3 linked regions of the Lonchura striata genome follow. The protein of the gene in region 2 purifies or fractionates together with the protein of the main gene of each other region. This does not show direct contact. Links are inferred from orthologs where the notes say so. Each region holds a gene or a part of one and is shown on either strand. Other genes may lie near its edges.

Region 1 (6,366 bases), on a different chromosome or scaffold from region 2:
CCTTTGAGGGACAGCTCCTAACAACTGGTAGCACTGGGATCTCCCTGCTGGGATCACTGGGCCCCCCACGATGGTACCACTGTGAGACCACAGGCACCACACGCTGGTACCCACACACCAGCATCACCGGGACACCCATACCAATACCACTAGAGGCTCCCCCACTGGTACCATCAGGACCCTCTGCTGGGATCACCTGGATCACAGGCATCACTGGGACCCTCACACCAGTACCACTGTGAACAGGATCACCAGGGCCCCCCCAACCTGGCTGCCTCAGAAGCTGGAAATGACCCTCCCAGATTCCTAAATCCCACCAGCACTGCTCCTCCATCCTTGCCTGCCCCCCTCCACCTCCCACACTTTTCCCTGCAGCCCACCCCCTATCCCAACACTGGTGCCAGCACCCCCAGGATCTGAAGGACAACCCAAAACACAACCACACACCCAGGGGTGGGATCCCCCTGAGGGTTAGGGGGGTCTGACCCCAGCGCTGGAAAAGAACAGACACGGAGTTATGGGAAGGGGCTGGCACCCACAGTGCCAACAGAGGGGCTGAACTCCCAAATGCTTTATTTGGGGGACGGGTGGGGGCCATCACCGGTACAGGTAATCAGCCTGGATGTTGGCCGCGATCTCAGCCTCCCACTTGTCGCCGTTGTTGAGCAGCTTCTCCTTATTGTAGAGCAACTCCTCGTGCGTCTCCGTCGAGAACTCAAAGTTGGGACCCTGCCAGGATGGGATGGGGTCATCCTTGGAGTCACCGTGGTGGGACAAGGGAGTCCCTGCAGTCCCCCCTGCAGGCCCCACTCACCTCCACGATGGCATCCACAGGACAGGCCTCCTGGCAGAACCCGCAGTAGATGCACTTGGTCATGTCGATGTCGTAGCGGGTGGTGCGGCGGCTGCCGTCGGCGCGGGGCTCGGCCTCGATGGTGATGGCCTGGCGCAGGGACACGTCACGGCTGGAGCCCCGGGTGAGGAGGAGGAGGAGGGGGAGGAAGTCTCACCTGTGCTGGGCACACGGCCTCGCAGAGCTTGCAGGCGATGCAGCGCTCCTCCCCGGACGGGTACCGGCGCAGCGCGTGCTCCCCGCGGAACCGTGGGCTCAGCGGGCCCTTCTCAAACGGGTAATTGATGGTGGCCGGCTCACGGAAAAGGTAGCTCAGGGTCATGGCCAGGCCTGTGAGGGAGAAACAGGAGTTATGACATATTTGGGGAGGGGATGTCACCCCACAAATGAGGAGAGTGAGCAGGGTCTCACCTCGGACGAGCTCGGTCCAGAGCAGGGTCTGGGCAGCGCGGTCAGTGATGGATCGCATGTCCATGGCTGGCTCCCGGATGTTGACATACTCTGCGGGAAGAGGGGAGCTGTGCTCACCCTGCAGAGCCCTGGGCTGGGAGCTGAGCCCCCACAGGGGTGGCACGGCTGTACTCACTGTAACAGTCCCTGGGGGTGCTGGTGCTGAGTGGGCGCAGGGAGCCACGTGGGGCCAGGGGGCCTGGGGAGGGACAGGAGGGTCAGTAGGGTCACAATGGGGTTTGAGGGGTTCAGGAGGTCTGGGGATTCCTGGGCAGCCTCACCTGTACGGGCAGCCTGGTACAGCAGTCGCAGCGCTGCCATGGCCAGTCCTGGGGTGCAGAGAGAACCTCAGCAACTAACAGTAAGGGACTGGGGCAGCCAGGGCTCCCCCACTTCCCACGGGGGACACTGGCACCCTGATTCCCACCCCTCCACCTAAAGAGACCCGGACCCCCAGGCACCCCTGTCCTGGCACCCCATAAGGGACCACAAATGCTTCCCCCTAGGGAACTAAGTATCCCGTTTCCTCTGCCAACCCCTCTCAAGGCACCCAGACATCCTACCCCTCCTTGCAGCTCCCTCTTAAGAGACCCAAGTGTATCCCCCAGGAGATTCGGGTATCTGGTCCACCCCCTAAAAGGGACTCAGCTGTTCCCCCAAGGGACCATCCTGCTCCCCCACGCCCACCTCCCAGGGGCACCCAGGTGTGCCGTCCTCTCCTGTCACCCCAAAGTCCCGCTAAGCCTCTGCGTGTCCCTTCAGAGAGGATGGGGGCGGAGGCTAGCGCAGTGTCCGGCTCCCTCCCTCTGCCCCACGCAGGATTTGGGCGGCCACTACACGCCACCGGGAGACCCACGGCCCCGGGCCCCCCAAGCTCCCCCGGGCCCCTTTCCCACCTCACCGGCCCCGAGCGCCCTCCGCCGTCCTGACCCCTGCTCGCCCCCGCGGCCACTGCGCATGCGCGTGGGGCGGTGCGTCGTGGGCGGGGCGAACGGCTGCGGACTTCCTTCTCATTGGTGGGAGTGCCGCACGGGGCGGGAAGAAAGAGGGAAAGCGTCAGTGATTGGGCAGAGCGTGGCCATGCTGCGTGCCGATTGGCGGGGCGGGAGGAGGGGGCGTGTCCGAAGGGCGGGCGGAAGCGGAAGCGCGTGTTCACGGTGGCAACGCGTGGTTACGGTGCCGGCGCGGAGCGTCCCGCTCTACCAGGGCTTCCCGAGATCCGGAGCTTTCCCTCCGGTTTCTGGAGCAGTTCGGGCCACAGGTTCCAGGAGGTCTCGAAGGTGAAGCGGATCAGACACTTGGATTCAGTACAAAGCCCGGCTCCGTCTCTGGCGGGCTCAGCGTTGGCACCGACTCCTCATCCCCGGCACAGTCCATGGAGGCGGGCACCGGTGATGTTTCCACTTCCCTATTAAACTGTCTTTATCTCAGCTCCCTCCACCAGTTATCTCCATCCCCCCACCCAGGGGGATCCCCGTGGGATTCAGCCAGGACAACCCACAGCCTAGCAGGAACGGATATCCCTTCACCGGCACAACCAGCCCCCCAAAATGGAGCAGCATGGAGTGAAGGAAACTGGGATCATGGGGCAAAGGACACTGAGATCATGGGGCAAAGGAAACTGGGGTCATAGAGCAGGAGAAACCAAGATCATTCCAGCTCAAGGATTTGGGATCAGGGTGTTGTGGACCTTCTCACGCAACGAGGGGCACAGTAAACCCCTCTGCTCTGGTGGTACCAGTGGTAATAAAGCTCCAAACAGCCAGAAAAGAGGAATATGGGACTGGGATGGAGGGAAATGTGGGGGACCAGCAGCAAGAGATGTCCTGAGTGGGCATGTGGAGACCCTCAGAGCAGGGCACAGTAATTCTTACATGTCACCTTGGAAGTGGCCCGGGTGACCCCAAATTTCTGCTGGCTGTACGGGGGATGGCACAGGGCATTGAGGGATTCCCAGCCCATCCCACACTTCAGGCACCCACAGTGGCAGGAGAAGGTGTCAAAGCTGAACTTCCCCAGGTGCATTCCCAGGTTGCTGTTCCCTGGAATACACAGCACAGGACCCTAGCTGGATATGGCCATTCTTTGGGTCAAAGAACTCAAAATTAAGCTCCCAGCTCTGCAAAAGCAGCACCATGCCTCATCCAGCTGCTTTCCAAGCCATGGATGAGCTTCTGTTAGGAAGAGGACCACGGAGGTGACCTAGTGCAAACCCAAGTGGATGTCTGGAGTAGGAAGATTAGGCTGGAAGGTGGAGAAATTCCCAAAAACTCTCTTGTCAGTGGATCTTACCATTTCAATTAACATAATTAGCAACTGGAAGAGTGTCACTGATGAGGTCATGGCTCCCAGCAGATGAGCTTGTCTCCCACAGGAATACCCTCAAAAAGACATCCCATCCATGCTGGATCCAGCCCTGCTGCAAGGAGACAAGACTGCAGGGGTGGACCGGCACAATAACCAAGGTGCCTTTGGTGAGGTGGGACCAGCCCCAAGGATGAATGTTGGGAAGTGGAAGGTGGCTGGCATGAACAAGCACAGGAAAGCCAGGCAGGCTGGCAAAAAAAACCAAAATCCACACATCATTTGATAACAGATGGGATAAAATTCCATGAGTCAGCCTGAGCCAGTCAGTCTTCCTGATAAAATGCTAATTGTGGTTGGGGTGATGCCTTGGGTTCAGTTCCTCAAACATCAGCAGCCCCAGGATAAAGGGAGGTCACTGATGCCTCCTGGCCAGCTGAGAGGGAGGAGAGGATAAAAGGTGGAGAACAGGAGTGAAAAATGGGAGCTGGTAGTGGACATCATCCCATAAAAAGCAGGTGATTCTATCATGGAATGCCAGAGTAGTTTAGCTTGGAAAGGACCTTAGAGATTATCTGGTTCCACCCCCCTGCAATGGGCAGGAGCAACTTCCACTAGACCAGATTGCTTCAAGCCCTGATTCCCTGTGCTTTAAGCAAGACATTTCTGTGGATGCAGAAAACACAGAACTTGGGATGGGGAATATGGAGAGAAAGTAACTCAGGGTGCTCCAGAGATGTCCAGCAAAGCCCAAGAGCCCAAGGTGAAGCAAAGGGCTTCTGGAGGAGAATTTCCCTATGGATTACCGAGCCCTCTGGAGCTGAAAGTTCCTACTGGGACCCTTCCTCACCATGGGTGGGATCACTCCTGGCTCCCAATGGCCAGGATTGGGGATTTTGGACCTACCAATGCTTCTGAAGGGCAGTGAAGGCAGTGTCACATGCATCAGGCTGTCGTTGCCACAGAAGCCACCAGTGCTCGTCTGTTCCAGGACCTGGTTCACCACCTGGGAATGACACAAAGAAGATGGGACATGGGTCTCCCACGCCATTCCTCTCCTTCCAAACACAATCCATACCCCCTAACTAGGTCTGTGTGATGTAAGGGAAACACCTGGAGCACAAACATGGCTGGATACAGCTGCCAAGGAGCACAGGGCAGGTGTAGTCCTGGCTTGGCTCTACCTTGTCATCCAAGGAGAAGGCATAGACAGCCAAGAGCTTCATCCATGTTGGCAATGACAACAATGGGCAGGAAGATCTCCTCCTGCATGGCAGGGTGCAAGGGCAGCACATCTGCCAGCACCGTGGGAGCTGCGGAGAGGAAACCCAACAGCATCAGCCAGGCACAAAGGTCAGAGATGGCACCTTCATCATCCCCCCAGGACACACCTCCTGTACGACAGGCCACATGGCCAAGCACCCACTTCCCATTATAATCTTCTCAAAACCCAAAATATGCTTTGTGCAAGGATGAAGAGGTGAGTGACCCCCAAGCCTCACTGATGTAGCGCTCGGCCTCATCTGTCTGTCCCCCAATGGCCACACGCCCACTGCACAGCACTCTGCACTCACTGGAACTGCCTGTCCCACACAGTGCGGCCAAAATCCAGGGATTCTCGGGGGTTAGGGCCACAGAAATCATTGATGGCCTCATGCAGGGCTGGGAGCAGCTTCTCCTGCATCTCTATGGTGCAGAGCAGGTAGTCGGGCGCGATGCAGGTCTGCCCTGCGTTGAAGAAGCGGCCCCAGACCACGCGCCGCGCCACGTTGGTCACATCACAGGTGTCAGACACATAGCAGGGGTTCTTGCCCCCCAGCTCCAGTGTCACTGGTGTCAGGTGCTTGGCAGCAGCTGCCATCACGATCCGCCCCACTGGGGAGCTGCCTGTGGGCAGGGAAAACATGGATTGAGGTGGGAATCCCACCAGCCATCGCATGGCTCTGGGATGTGGCACTGGGTCCCACCAGATCTCAGATACACATCCCAGATCCTCCAACAGATCCTGGCACTCATCTCCAACCCAATCCCTGCCTTCTTAGCAGGGATGTCTGGAGGGAACCCATCTTCCTCCTCACACAAAATCCAGGCAGGGCTCCGCTCTGTCCCATGGGACGTACCAGTGAAGAAGATGCAGTCAAAGTTGTCCTCCAGCAGCCTGGTGGTCTCCTGCACACCACCAGTCACCACAGCAAAGCAGTCTTGCAAGGAAATGAGAAAGGCTCCCTCTTGTCACCATCTGTCCCCACCAATAGCATCCTGGGAGGCTGGGACACTGGCTGGGCATGGAGTAAGGGAGCAGGGCAGTACGTGAAGCTGGAGATGGTATGTGAGGCAGGCACAGAGCACAGCTCTGCCCCAGTCATGCCACAGGGATTGGAGATTGTCCCACCTTGTCCAGGTAGCTGGGCAGCAGTTCTTCCACGAGACTTTCTGTCTTCTTGGACACCTCAGAGGGTTTGACAATGACACAGTTCCCTGGGGAAGACAGGATCGTGGAGCTGCGACATGGTGACAGCCAGCCCTTCTGTGGACGAAGTGCTCTTACCTCTGCTTGGCACTGCTGGGATCCTCCAGGCCAGGGAGCTGGAAATTTGGGCTCACCAGCAGCAATGGCCCTGATGAGAGGCACCAGGAAGAGTTAGATGGGATAATTCCAGGGTGCTATGATGAGCACCACCCCATAGGGATCCTTGCTGATGAAGGCAAGAGTCCACTGCATCACCTGTGGGACACCCTCCACATCAGGTCCCACCCTG
Region 2 (7,306 bases):
ACTGTTACTGCCTCAAGTCAGTACAAAGGATGTTGTTTGTCTTGGGTGATGTTGGAGCACCAGCAAAGCTACCCCAAAGCCAGCCCAAGATGAGCCAGTCACCTCTCCACTCCATCCAGCCTCTTCCCATTGCTGGTTCACCTCCTCCTACTCACTGGAGCTGGCACAGTTCTTTCTGCCACTGCTGCAGAGAAACAATCTGGGAACAAAGTGCTAACTCTCACAAACCAACCAACCTGGCAGCAGTATCAGTTCACATTATTCACTCCTCCTGTCACATGCCTTTTTTTTTCCTCCTGTGTTTCCAGTAGCTTTCTGTGGACCAGCCAAACCATCGGTGATTGATAGAGCTTAGAAGAGTTAGGAGAGCTCTTCTCTTTCTTAAATCAGACCATCTGTGTGATGCTGTTTGCTCTGGGGATGTTCCTACATCCTGACACTGGCAAGAAGGATGAACTGAAACCAGAGTTACGAGAAATAATAGGGCTGTCAGTTGTCTCAACTAATATTGCAACTGAGAAGAGAACATGGGGTGCTGAAACCTGTGAGTAAAAATTCAGTAAAAAGGCATGTGTAACTGATGAAATTAATTAATTCCAGTATCAGGCTGCCTCATTCTCAAATATGCTGTCTCCTACTGTGCATTTCCAAGTCAAAGTAACCTGCTAATTGAGAAACAACATACAGGAAAAATATGGAAGATTATGTCAGGTATCAAGCCACAGTCCATCAGGAAAATTTAAATGCCATGTCTTTGAAATTAGTATTATCTGACAAGGAGCTGGTGATCTGTCTGGGCTGGTGTGTGAGTCTGTAACACTGAGCTTGCTGCACTTGCTATAAACTTCATCCACATAAGGACTTGACAAAAACTCCTTTAAATAAAGCACTGCAGCCACCTAGCCTTGAAAATATGCAAGTGTTCGGGAACATTGATCACAGACTGGAATTAAGCAAAATCCTTCAACGTAGATCCTTCTGTAGATACTTCAGAGGCCAGTAAAAGATGGATCAGTTGAAACCAATAATAGAGAAATAATCTGAATTAAGTAACAGAACAACCAAAAATCACTGAAAGGTGAAAGTGATCCATCAGTAAGTCCATCTCTCTTGAGTTCATCTTTACAAGGTTGCAGGACAGTCATTTTTACTTGGCTCATAATCAATTCTTGCTAATGCTGTGTTCTCTGGTTCTGCCTAACACTGATGAGGTAAGGAATAAAAGGATCAATGCTCTCATTGTGCTTACTGGTAAACCAGTAATCTGGATAGAGGACTCAGTTCCCTGAATCCTAATGATATAAGAATTTGCTCAAGTATCCATTTAGACTGACATCAATTATGAACAAACAACAACAGAAAGATGAGAATAGGAAAACAGTTTCAGTGGTAGAAAATGTGGACAGAATCAAATACAAACCTCTAATGCTGCTGTATAAAAGCATTCCTCATTTTCCTCTGTGGTTGACTGCTGTGCCATTCCCAGACCTCAAATCACAAAGCAAACCTCACCTGCCTCCTCTCCAAAATTCTCCAGCTGAGCAACTATTACCAAAAAATGGCTCTTATTTCACTGAAATTACCTGCCCATCTGGACTCATATTCTGATTCCTGATCTTTTGAGTAGTAAAGACAGCAAAGAAACTTTAGTAGTACCCACCCACACAGTAACACAAGTTAATGACAGGCTATTCTCCCTTCTCTAAAGCAAATTTTCAATAGGTCAATCAGACTTTTGATGCTAGTTAAATACAAAAATTAATTTTTCATTTTCCACTCAGTGATAGAACTAGCTGAGAAAGAAACAGTACACACAACACATAATCAAAATTGAGATGGAAAACAAATAGATTCAAAGAACAGTCACAAATGTACTTCTTACTTTCCAGGCACCCAGTAGCTTTAGAAATTTCTCTCTTAAGAGGTATGGAAGGATTACAAGGAGATCTAGTGTGGCAGCCTATGGCACACATATATCATGAGAGTTACAGTATTTTTCTCTGATGTGCTGTCCGGTGTTCAGAACAGGCTGCTACGAAAACTTTTTGAGAATACGTGTGTATGAATCCAGCTGGATAGTCTTCTCATGGGCTGTTTTGTTATTTTTGAATTCCCTGGAAAGACTCAGACTCCTTGTTCAAGAAAAATGCATCCCATTTGAAACTCTGTCTAAGATGAATACACATACATTCATTTTTTAATAATCACACTTGCAGATATCTATATGCTTTATATGGAAAACTATCCAACCTCTTGATTACTGATATTTAATATCAATATAGTCACATTGGTAAAATACCAAATTATATTAAAAATATTGTTTTCAATCTCTATTCTTCTGCTTGCTACAGTCTAAGAAACATTCTTCAGAATAAAAATCTTGAACTTTTGATGCATCTTTATACATGAAAAGAACAGCTTTGTGCTATCCTCAGTCGTAGGAAGTGACAGGCAGAGCATGACATCACTCTTTATTTTTAACTGACTGCTTTCTGGTGAATTTATTTTGCTGCCAGTACATATTACAGCAGTGTTAATCACATTCATGCTTTATCAAGACAGAAGCCCTGTGCTCTGTTTGGTTCTACAAGCTGGGAGTTCTTAGCTTTTGGAGGAGAAACTTTGTTTCAAATTTGCCACAATAGCTGATCCACAGATGGATCAGTAAGAATACAAATGCTAAAGTACCTGTGAAAGGTCTACAACTACCAAAGGCATCCACGGGGATTTTTGCATTACAGCCACACCACACAGATTCACCACTCACAAAAGTATCAAATCCTGGACTTAAGAACACAGGTTTAGTCAGCAAGTAATTGACTACAGATATTTAATTAAACTTGTCACCTGACTTCAGCAGATTTTAAGTTTCCAATTATCACTGTATCACTAGTCTCCTTAATTCATTCACATGCAATATCAAAAATAAGACAAGGTCAGTAAGCTTATTACCAGAGAACAAAAACATGTTTCTGTTCTCCTACAGACTGTGAGAATCTTTAAAATAAACAAATGGAGAAACTGCATCTTCCTGATTCCCAAAGAGAGCAGATATCCAGCATACACCACCATGTTTATCCTGCCTTGTTTCCACTGCCTTTCTAAATCAATTTGGCTTCTCTCTAAGGAAAACACAGCCATTCATTAATCCAGCATTAAAGCACACTGCAGCCTTGAAACTATCACATCATAATTATTATTACTAAACAATGCTATTAATAGAAGACCAAGTTCTGAACCCCAGGTTTTATATGCCCACAATAATAAGAAACACTAGGTAGATGAGGTAGATGCAAGGGCAGAAAAAAAGGTGTTTCCCACCAAAAAACAAACAAACAAAACATCCACCAAAAAAAAAAAAAACCACACACAAAAAGAAACCCCCAAAAACTACAAGAATGCTGGTCTTTTCAGTGTTCTTCATTAAATTCATTGAAAGTCCCACTTCAAGTCACTTCATTCAGGCAACTACTATCATGAACTAATTGGTGGCCCAGAAGGCACTAAGACTCTGCAAACAGCACATACAAAATTTAAAGCCATAAGGGAATTATTTGTTGGCTAATTCACACAGCAGCTGGAACAAACAAGTCATTAATCTCTCTTGGTAAGACACCTTATCAGTCGTGGCTGAATAAAGTAGTCAACCCTCAGGCTTTACTGCTTCTTGAATCAGGCCAGTAGCTCTTACTCTTTCTGCCTCCCTTTCTCTAAGGATTCTGTATATTTTCACACACTTCTTGAATCTATGAAATGACTCCCATCTCAACAATTTTGATTCTGTCGACAAATTTACCTTTCTTAACATACACGGCTTAAGGCCTTCTCAACATTTTGTCACAATTAGTTTTCACAATTTTTGCAAAGTCAGAAGAAAGTTTATTTGGTCGAGCTGCAAAAAGAGGGTCTGCACCCTGAAAGCGTTGTGTAGCCCACAAATTCCCAACACTACTGGGGAATTGTCCCTCGCTGCCGCTCCGACCCGTGCCTATCGCCGCCGATATACAAACAGCCACAGTCACGCCATGGCGTGTCCGGGGGCTCCGCCTGCAAAGGAAAGCGTGCGGCAGCCACAGCTCGCACTTCGCGAGCATTCCCGGCGGGAGCCGCCCGGGCCGGGCTCGGCTCACGCCCGCCTTTAGGAAAGGCACGGCAGGACCGCCGCCGCTTGTCTGTTCGCTCGCTTGTCTGTTCGCTCGTCTGTCTGTCTGCTCGCTTGTCTGCTCGCTTGTCTGTTCGTGTGCCCGCAGCACTCGGTTCATTCCCTTCCGGTGCACACCGCCCCTGCCCGGCGTGCCCCGCGCGCAGGCGCGGCTGGCGGCGGCGATGGGCGGGCGGGTGACCCGCGTGTTCCGGAATTTCAACGTGGAGAACCGGGCCCGCCGCGAGATCAGCAAGGAGAAGCCCACGGCAGCGCCGCGGCACCGCACCGCCCGGCTGGACGCCACGGCCGGTGAGTGCCGGCGGCGCCCGCCCGGTGCGGCGGCGCTGACATTGAGAGCGGCGCGGGCGCGCGGGGCATGCCGGGAGCGGGGCGGGGACGGCGGCAGCAGCGTGAGGGGCTGAGGGAGCGCCCGGGAGCGCTGGGGGACGGCAGCGGGGGCCGCTCGGTGGAGGTGGTTGAGGGGACGGGACCCGGGGGAAGTGGTGGGGCGGTGGGATGGCGGTACCGAGCGTGTGGGTGCCGTGTCCCGCCGTGCTGTGACCGGTGACCGGCCCAGCCGGACCGTGCGAAGCCGAGTCGCTAAGGTCAGGGCTGTGGGAGCAATGGCACCCTCCCAAGAAGGCAGGTGCGTTTGCGGGAGCCGTGCCGTGCCGCTGGGGAAGCGATGAGCTGGCAGAACTAACAAAAAGGAGACTCTTTCACTCAGATCAATCGTTTCTTCTTTTTTTCCTTCCCTTCCCTTCTTCTCACTGCCTTTAGATAGCCCAGAGATAAAAGAAGAAGTTCTCAGAAAGGACGATAGGTTCCTCACCTTGCTCAAAGATGTTTATGTCGAGTCCAGAGATCCACCGGTGCAGGTGAGTGCATCTCTCTACGACCCATACCAACATCAGCTTTGTGGTCTTCAAACTCAGCACAAAGGCTGTGTCAAGAAAAATGCTCTCTGTGCATAAAAGTTATCTTTTTTCAATAGATAAAAGTGGTATTTTTATTACTCTTCTATACATCAGTAACATTGAGTGTGTCTGACCCTGGGTTTTGAATGTGTGACAGATTGTAATTATACAAGCTTGTAAATGCAGACACAGTCTTCTTTTTTAGTATTGCGTTGATCTTACTGTTCTTCACCTAAATTCCTTTTTCTGCTTCCTATGAGGCAAGATACATCTCAAGCCTTTTGCAAAGATAAAGTAGTTTGCCAGAAATCATTTGTGGAGTTAGAAGAGACTGGGACTGCTAGGGAGCAGGGATGTGGTAGAGGACAAAGATGTTTACGCTTTAATGGAGTCTTTAACTCCTTTAAATATTGTACAGTGCAGAGACTTTTTTTTTTATCCAATTCATGAAGTGCCTTAGGTTTTTTTCCTACAATATCTTGTGGGTTGTGTGGTCATCATTTCCTTATTGCCACTGGCTGCAATCTTTTACTTTTACTTGAAAGCTAAAGCATATTCCTTCATAAAATGCAGACTGGGGCTCAGTGTCCTCTTTTCCATCATATTTTGCTATGGTTTGTGTATTTTAACTGTTTCATTATTGGACCACTTTATTCCAGCTGATTTATTCAGCAGTAAAATTTTTATGGTCATCTAGCAAAATTCCTAAGTCTCTCTAATTTGCCACTTATATGGTATTCAAGTCCAAAAATATTTAAAATGCAAATAGATTTTCTCAGTCTCTTCCTGAAATTTTCAAGAAATCTCTATCCTTAATTTCCATCACAGAGGTTAGGACTCTAATCTTGAAGTGCTGAAGTTCTAATTTCAGTATCTTTCAATATTCATGTATAAGCCTGTCAAGAGAGATTTGAGAAAAAGCCCAAAGTGGAGCAAATCTTTGCTTGATTCTATGCCTTCTCGGAGTTTACTGCCACAGACTTGCCATTGTGCTGTGTCTGCTTGCAGTTTTTAGAGCACAACTGAAGTGTAATCACAGAGACTTGTGGACAAAGCAATACAAAAGCTTTCTCCCATTCCTGATGTTATCCTGATGACTTTGTGCATTGTGTACGTGATGTGTACACACCTCTGTGTGTGTTTGGGGTGTCTGCCTATGGTAAGTGGAAAAACACCAGCTTGGGAGCCCTGAAGTGGCAGATTCCCAGAGACAGATGATCTTATTTAGAGTTGAAAAATCATTCATTATCCAAGCACAGTTTTAGCAAAAAGTAGAAGACATGGAGTGCAGGCCAGACATTCCTTGTAGCTCAGAAACAGACACACACAGGTGCTGTAATATCCACATCAGTCTTCTCAGCAACTGAGTTAATACGGAGTGTCTGTGTAATAATTAGTGGCTGTGGGCTCTGATTACTATATAAATACTTCTAAGTTTAAGAAAGGTTTAATTGTGCCTTTTTTTTTCAGTGTGATTCACTGATTAAATGTTACTTAAAGGAAATATGAGGAAGTGAAAGCTGTTTTGGAGATTATTTGGAAATATGAAGGAACCTTAGAGAAGACAGTTTGTGTGTCTACATGTTGCAGTAGTCATGGCAATTAAATTCCATATGATGCTGCAAAATAGCAGGAAAGCTTGTTCTCTAGACAGAGCAAAAGAAGGAATTTCTTTTAGTAGGAAAACTAAAATTTGGAAACAAAAGGAAAGGGAGAGAGACTACATGAAAAAGTTTTCCAGTGGTATCAGAAGGATACCAATTTGTTGTATGATTTTTTTGTCCCTTCCAGTGAATCAGTAGCGAATATTAGGCTATCTGGATTTACATTTGCCTACCAGAATCTGTAGTCTGCCTTGCATAAAGGGCTGCCAAGCCAATACAACGCTTAGAGTGCAGTGAAGAGAGGCTTTTCAGCATTTAGTTGGGAGTTGACACTCTATGTGGAATGGCTGTGAAAGAAGCTAGGCAGGCTAATCTGTTTTTAAAAAAATAGGGAAAGCTAACAGGAAAAGCTAAACAGAAAAAATATTTACGAAAGCAGTTTAGGTGCTACAGTATGCATAGTAAACAGAACTGCTGTTGAGCTCTTTTTGTTTTCCTTCCCTCGATTAGGTAAAAGATGGAGGTGGTGAACATCTTCCAAGTAAACAGGAAGAAAAGAGACTGACAAAATTAGGCCACTTGGAAGGTCTAGATGTTAAGAAAGTTCCTAAAGGCAAAATTTCCCTTGTGGAGGCTCTGAC
Region 3 (7,588 bases), on a different chromosome or scaffold from region 2:
GACATCAGCAGGGTCACCTACTCTTGTGGCATCAGATTTCCCTCTGGGGTAGGTAAACCAACTCCTCCTAAACATCAGCTAAGCCTCAAAACAGTCTGCTCTCAGTTCAGCAGCCACATACTCCCCAGCCTCCTGTGTGACATTGACAAGCCAGCAGCAATCCTCCTCTCCTTCCCAACACAGATAAACCCAAACATTTTGGGTTTTAATTGTGAAACTTAAAGTTTTCACAACTGCAGGATGGAATTTGCAACTTGGGCTTTACAGAAATGATGCTGAGCAGCAAATAGCTTTGTTCAGAACCTTTCCAAAGGGGCTGATCTGACTGCAGAGGAGACACCTGGTGGAAGACAACAAGGTAACATGTCAAACCCAAAGAAATCCAGAAAACCCAAAGAAATCAAGAGCTCCAGGAGAGAAAGCAAACAGCACACTAACTAAGCCTAAAAACAGATACTAAACTAAAAGGAGCCACAGACATCAAGAGACAGTGAGGAAGAAATTCAGAAAGGAACAAAAAAAAATTAGGGAGATAGAAATATAAAATCATGCCAGTCAATATTGTGGGATCTTAAAAGCAGAAGGAGAACTTAAACAGAACATATCTGCAGAGAGAGTCAATGCAGGTTTAAATTTACAAATTTAGTAGTCTGAACAACAGGGAAGGAGATATTTCTAGTTTAAAAGGGCTTTGCTCAGAAGACGACACTTAGTTTGATGTTCTACTGCCAGAAATGCACTGCAACATCCAAGGAAGAAAATCAGGGAAGCAGAACACTCTCTGCATTGGCTTTGTGTGTGTAGAAAAATCCTGAAGGCCTAACAGGTACATAGAAGCAGTAGATCTGATATTCAGCAACTGCTCAAGAACAAGACAATCCCCTGCAAATGCCTGAGGACAAGAACAAAGAATTGTAACACCAGTGTATACAAAGTAGTAGTAGTGACAATTGTGAGTACCACCAGCGTATACAAACCAGGAGCAATGAGACATTGTAGGAAGGACAAAAATCAGTGTGGGTTAGAAAGCACTTCCAAAAACTGCCAACACACTTTAACACTCCCTCAGATTAAAAGCACATAAAGAGATGAAGGAAAAGCAGAAAGCAGCTGTCAAGAAAGAAAAGCATGCAACTCAGTAACAGATGTACAAAAAGGGCTTTTCCACATTTCAGATTTGTGTTGATTCATTAGAAGATGAGAATTCTGAGGCAATTCTAAAAGGTTAAACTCTCTTCATGCTCCTGCCTGATCAACCAGACTCAGGTCAAGGTAACAGCAGGAGCCTCAATCAAAGGCCAGAGCTGTGGGCACTGCTGGCAGGGACAAGGACAAGGACAAGGACAAGCACCAGCACAGGGCAGCTCTGCTGCCCCACATCAGGGAACACTCACTTGAACATGGTGGCGAAAGCCGCGACCCTCCAGCTCCAGCGCCAGCCGTAGCGGATGAAGCTGCGGAGACCAGCGCGGTGTGCAGATTGCTGAGGGGACAGAGAGGACATGTCACAGCTAACAGCCCCTCCTCCTGCCAGCACCCTGCAGGCCAGCCCAGGGGACCAATGTCTCCTGCCGCTGGTACCCCAGCTCCGATCAAGTCAGCCACCTTTGGAGGAAAAGCTGCTCCCAGCCACCAACGGGAAAACCAAGAATCAGTTCCAGTTTGGAATGTCAACTGGTCTTTCTAATCCTGCTGCTGAAACACGTCTGGGTGGACTGGGAGGGCTCTTCAAGGACAGGACAGCAGCAGAGGAGAAAGAGAAAAACTAGAAACTACTTCATATAGAAAGTAGTTTCTACAATAGTAGTAAGTAAATAATAACCATCTGCGTTAAATATTAAGGTATCATCAAGCTCTGCAGTTTAACACTGGCACTTAAAAGTTTGGAAAGAAGAGTTTTTTTTAAAATAAGTGGTAAACAGAGGCTTCATAAAATTTAAAAATGTTGCACTGAATACCATGAAAGTAAATAAATTTTCTCTTCCAGTGTTTGTGGTGTAGGTTCTTAGCCTGGGTCAGATATACCAGTCACCAGAGCGGAGCCAGGCAGTGGCAATTTGCAGGTCACCACATCAGAGGCCAAATTTTGTAAGTAATACAAAATTAACATCAGGCAGATTTTTAAAAAGGTTTTCTTCCTCATATTCCACGTAACCAACACTTTAATTGAATAACAAACACCTAGAAGTTCAAATACATCTACAAAATGTCACAAGTGTTCTTTGTTGTGCTGTTCTTCTAAAAGAATTTTAAATGGTCTAAAAATGACTCACATTAATAAGACAAGAGTACAATCCCAGTTTGATACTGTGAAGTCTCCTGTCAGCAGACTAAAACGCAAAAGCAGAAAGCCATTTCGAGACGTATTAATCAGCCACTTAAGAGAATGGTAAACTTTGTTACCAACCTTCCCTGTGATGAACGACGCTTTTCTGAAGCTAATTTGCAATTTGGCTAACGGGGAACCCTAATTCCTGCTAATTCCCGCAGCGGATGACCTGCACGGACTCACACACTCCCAGCAAACTTTCTGTGCCAGACCCGCACACGCGTCCCCCCGGCCCGAGCCCGGCCCCGGCCCCGCCCGAGCCCGGCACCGCCGTGCGCCCCGGCCGCAGCCCCGGGCCCGTACCACGGCATCGGCGCGGTTCTGGAACATCTCGCCGTGGCTGCTCTCGATGAAGGCCTTGCGGGCGCTGACGAAGGCGGGCAGCCCCCCGTACAGCCAGCCCACCACGCCCGCCGTGAACGCCGCCTTGGCGATGTTCACCGTCTCCTCCGGCAACTGCTGCCGCTCGCTGCAAGGCAAGGGCGGCGATGGGCGCGGGGTGGGCACGGCGGGACCGCCACCACCCAGCCCCGCCCGTCCCGCCCCGTCCCGCCCGAGCCCGGCCCGGCGCTCACTCTCGCCGCCAGAGCTCGCGGAGCCGCTCCCAGCCCGTCTGCGGCAGCGGCGCGGGGCCGAAGCCCGCCCGGGCTCCGGGCAGATCCGCCATGGCCGAGCCCGCGGCGGCGGCGGCAGCGCCCCCTGCGCCCCGGCGGGGCACTGCGAGGACGGCTCGGGACCGCTCGGAACCGCTCGGAACGGCTCGGAACAGCTCGGGACCGCTCGGAACGGCTCGGCTCTGCGTTAGTCACTGATGAACAACTCCGAGTGTTTGCCCCTTTGTGCAGGGCCGGGTTTGTTCCCCACAGCGAGAGAGGAGCTGAGTTCTGGGGGCTGTGGTGCCCGGTTTGCATAGGACAGAGGGGGAGCAACCCCCGGGCAAAGCCTGCGTGGAGAGATGGCGCCACTCATGGGGCTCACTGCCTTTCCTGAAACACCTCTGTTGTGAATTCTTCCTTTCACCAAAGAAGTGAAAGCTCCCCACCAGGAGAGGTGCCTGGGCCTTCCCACCGGGCTTGTGCATATTTTAACCCATGATTCTTGAATTCCCGGGATTCTTCCCCCACTCCTGAAGAATCATCACTTTGGCCAAGGGCCACCTAAGCTGCAACAATCAAGTGTCATCGCAAGATCTATGGGTGGAAAAGCTGGGGCTCTGCAGACCTCCTATCACTCTTCTGATGAAGAAAATGCATCCAACAAAACTTCATTTTTTGTTTTATTCCAAAAAGCCCTTCATTACAAATGGTTTTAAAATATCATACAGAGATGTTCGGTTTCTTGGAGTGCTGTCTCTCTGTTGGCTAAAAATAGAAAACCAGAAAACCCCTTCCACTCTGGCACAACTTTCCTGGGAAACCAGGTTAATGCCCCATTCTGTTTCCTTTGCTGGATGAAATAACCCCAGCACTGGTCCCAAAACCAACACACTGCCCCAGCAACCAGCACTTGATCAATAGTGCAGCTGCTATGTCCCTGTGCCAGGGCTGCAAGGCCTCTGCGAGGGCACACATTAAATGTTATTGTTCCATGCAATTTCCTTCTTCCCTGATACACACTGACTGCAGAGGGCCTGAGAGCTGTTGCTATCATCCTCTTCCATTATAATGTGCTGCTCTCTCAGCCTTGAGGCTGCTTTACCAACAAGGAGGCTCCCCTGGGAGGCTCCTGTGTCCCTCCTGGCACCCCACACTCTTCCTGTCTGGGTGCCAGAGAAGATGCTGCTGCCTCCAGCCTCTTATCTTAGGGGGCACAGAGCATTTCAGGAATTGCAGTCCTTAGCCAAGAGGCTGTGGTGGGCATAAACACAGCGAGCACAATCAGCCTGTGAGCAACTCAAAATGGGTAATGTGAGCAGTAGCTGCTACTGTGTGACTGAAGACATTCCCTCAACCAGGCTGAAGGAGATGAAAAAAGAAGTGGCACAGATGTGGGGAAGAAAAGCAAGTAGTAAAGTGAGCAGATGTATTACCAGTCTCAAAAAAAAAAAGGCCACCCCCCCCCCAAAAAAAAAACAAAAACAAAAAAAAAAAACCAAACCAAAAAAAAAAAAACAAACACTTAAAATAATCCTGGAAAGATTACAGAAGGGGATCAGAGCAGACTCTGCACTTCTGGAAAAAGGAAGTGCTGAATCTACCTCAGTGAATACTTTCTCTGGGTTCCTAAGGATGACATCCCAGGATGTCTGGCCAGGCAGCTGGTGAGAGATAATTAACAGGGGCTCAGTTGTGCAGGGCTGTGCAGGCACCCAGCTCATCTGCTGGAGGAAGAATCTCTGTCTCAGTTGCCAAGCACATCACTGGTGATGGCCCCATCACCACCGTATGCTGATCCCCTGTGAGGTAGGTAGGGTAACTCTGCAAGGATCAGTTATCCTCCAAGGGCATGTCAAAACCTTACCATCGACCTCTAAAACCCAACATAAACCCTAAGCTACCCAGAAAGTTATATAGCCCCAAATCCCAGTACCTGCGTTTGTCAGAGAACACCTAATACCCCAAGTGCTATCACCCAGCTGAGAAAACATTTGCCAAACAAAGGGGCAAGTATTTACTAGCTGAGTGCAGCTCAGCCTGTGTCCTTTGCCATGACCTTTGGTAATAAGTCCACTAAGGCTTCTCATCGACTGAATGGGATTTAGGATCATTTTGAGACAGGTAGTAACTAAGTCCTAAATGCTAACATCCCTCCTCTAGGCATGACTGACCACCCCATTAGTCTTAATCCAATATGCTGCTTAACATTCTTGAGGTGACAATATAACCAGGTCCCAGTGCAGTTCTACTGTGAAAGGTAAGTCTGAGAGAGCAAGAAATAATACTGATCTTCAGATTTCCACAGTGACCAGTTTGAGCCAGAGAGAAAAACAGAGAAGTCTCTACAGTTCTGTTTTCAGCTGTCCAGAAGTGATCTCGCTGTAGCTTTTCCTCCTTTTCACTTTGTAAGTCAAGATCTGGGAATATTCAGACAGCAGATGCTCCCAGTAGCAAGAGATGTCCTCCATCTCCAAGTGCTCAGTGATGAACTGACGTCCCCTAGAGACACACAAGTCACAGTCAGGACTGTTTTCCAGTTCCTACAAGAGTCATTAGTTTTGGTTTGGATGTATATCAACTTTCGCATTTCCTTGTTTCAAATGAGAAACAACACACACTGCTCTGTACTGTCTGTTTTAATTTTACAATTTTCATTCATGCTCACAGCTCTGACGGCTGCAGTGCTTTTGCTATCCTCAGGACGGTATTTGCTATCTGGGATAATAAATATCAGATTCCACTTATCACATGCAACTAGAGCAGCCCTGATGCATGCTGCTTCAGAGCAGCCTGGATAGATAATGTTTACAGCGCAGACACAGCTCCCAGGAGCCAGCTTGTGTCATACTGAGATGAAAGCTCCCAACCTCTGCCAGCTTTCCATGGGGTTCCTGACATGGGTCACATGTGAACTGAAGAGCTAAGCACAGCATCCTGCTCTCTGCTTCCCTCTGCTTGCTATCACTGCTCCAGCCCTCCTACTCTTATTGCAGAAGATCAGTTATACTGCACCCTACTAATACTGGTTGTCTTTGATGGGCAACCCCTTCAAAAGCAGTGTAAGACAATGTTTTAGAAGAAGACTGCCTAATAGCCAGGAAGCACATACTGCTTACCTCTCTGAAATTTCTTGTGCTATGGCATCGTTTTCCTTTACAAACTGCAAGAGCTCCCTAAAATGAAGACACATACACAGAAAAAAAAAAAAAAAGCTATGAAACAACTGGCTCAGTGGAGAACATAATCCCTTAGCTAAATTGTTGGGGAGGGTGAGGTTAAGAGTCTACAAGTGAGTGAAAGAGCTGCTCACCTCAGCACAGAAGCAACTTCTCTGCTTGATTGTTTCACATCACTTCTGGACAACTTCCTGAAATCTGGGAGCTAACACATTTTTGGCCCACTGGTTAAGTTCTTCTCCCCCCTTATCACTGTTGCCCACTTGCAAATTTAAGTGTCTAGTGCCTGCTGATTTCAGTGAGAGTGAGAATCTTACTCCAGTGTAACTGCACTCCCCAAATCAGCAAAGGATTCTCTGGGGGTAGTGATGAAAAGACCATGACCTCCAAAAATCTTTGCCTGATGCCTCAGAGTGGAGGCACTTCATGGCCTAACACAAACCATCCCACCTTCCCAAAGGCTTCCCCATGGTATGCAATGCTCCATGCAGTGGCCTCAGGCCCCACACCTGACGTCAGAGAGGTCTGACCGCACCGGGATGTAGTGGAGCCAAGGCTTCAGCTGGGGGTAGAAGAACTCCAACCACTCCTCTCCGACATGGAAGACGAGTGAGCCGCACAGGAAAAGGTGCTTCAAGCGGAAACTGGCCGCCACTCCCCGGAAATTAAACAGGTACCTTTGAAAGGAAGAGCAAAGAGAGGGACCTGATCACACATCCTGTGTGAGGAAATGCACTAAGGTGTGCTGGTCTCCAAGGAGCGGTGAACCTTCCCTGACAGGCAGCAGCTGAGCAGCACACCAGTCACTAAAACAGAGGAAAGGCATTTATTTGAAGCTGCTCACAGGAAAGGTGAGCTGAAGTTAAGGGTGTGCTGGGTGAGTTTCTGCTGTCAAAACTCACTGAGAAATTCAAGGTGTGAGGCTTTACCTCTGATAAAGGCACTGTCTGTGACAAACCAATGAGGCCTTGTGGACAATTGCCAGCAAAGCATGGAAGATCACAATATGGATTCCGTGACCCTATGGGGTCACTCAGAGGCTTTATCAACCACAAGGAAATTCTTTCCAATTCTCTCTTGCCTTTCAGTGAAGTTTTTCTGTTCATCATTGTGCTTTGCCACATCTATCTCAGGTTATTTTTTCCTCTGGGATTCTGCTTTAATCTGAATGTAATTGTTTCATAGTAACTTGGGAATGCAACCATAGGAGGTTAAATGGGCCAGCATACAACAGATGGACTTTGCAGATAACGAAGAATCCAAAAGTTTGTTTTCAGTATTTTCTGCCAAGTTAGAAAAGTGGGCTTGACTGTGGCAAGGGGGTATTTCTCTTAGCAAACTGTATCTCATAGGGATGTTTCTTTGCTTACTTGTTTTCTTGATCAAACCCACATTTCTTCTATTATATAGAAAGCTGTTTTTCCTACGGGTAAACCTCCCCAGAACATATACTGATCTTTGAAGTTAAACATTTTGAGCCGGGGGAA

Evidence for each region.
Region 1: the proteins of NDUFAF4 (region 2) and NDUFS8 purify together in Homo sapiens (co-immunoprecipitation; 3 studies listed by BioGRID and IntAct, with this or other methods). This does not show direct contact. The link is inferred for Lonchura striata from reciprocal best matches to the Homo sapiens genes NDUFAF4 and NDUFS8.
Region 3: the proteins of NDUFAF4 (region 2) and TIMMDC1 purify together in Homo sapiens (affinity purification with mass spectrometry; 3 studies listed by BioGRID and IntAct, with this or other methods). This does not show direct contact. The link is inferred for Lonchura striata from reciprocal best matches to the Homo sapiens genes NDUFAF4 and TIMMDC1.

Annotation. Positions count from the first base shown.
Region 1 is NC_134608.1:52,535,074-52,541,439, reverse strand, and holds NDUFS8 (NADH dehydrogenase [ubiquinone] iron-sulfur protein 8, mitochondrial), read right to left. Parts: upstream 2,290-6,366; 5' UTR 2,263-2,289; coding exon 2,205-2,262; exon of another isoform or gene 2,200-2,204; intron 1,633-2,199; coding exon 1,585-1,632; intron 1,503-1,584; coding exon 1,440-1,502; intron 1,355-1,439; coding exon 1,265-1,354; intron 1,184-1,264; coding exon 1,011-1,183; intron 944-1,010; coding exon 815-943; intron 730-814; coding exon 598-729; 3' UTR 516-597; downstream 1-515.
Region 2 is NC_134605.1:75,118,457-75,125,762, forward strand, and holds the start of NDUFAF4 (NADH dehydrogenase [ubiquinone] 1 alpha subcomplex assembly factor 4), read left to right. Parts: upstream 1-4,301; 5' UTR 4,302-4,326; coding exon 4,327-4,453; intron 4,454-4,924; coding exon 4,925-5,022; intron 5,023-7,175; coding exon 7,176-7,306. UniProt on the Homo sapiens protein: Involved in the assembly of mitochondrial NADH:ubiquinone oxidoreductase complex (complex I). May be involved in cell proliferation and survival of hormone-dependent tumor cells. May be a regulator of breast tumor cell invasion.
Region 3 is NC_134604.1:14,297,130-14,304,717, reverse strand, and holds the start of TIMMDC1 (complex I assembly factor TIMMDC1, mitochondrial), read right to left. Parts: upstream 3,016-7,588; 5' UTR 2,997-3,015; coding exon 2,905-2,996; intron 2,799-2,904; coding exon 2,633-2,798; intron 1,484-2,632; coding exon 1,395-1,483; intron 1-1,394. Other genes in the region: POGLUT1 (protein O-glucosyltransferase 1), read right to left, coding at 5,268-5,424, 6,042-6,098, 6,611-6,778.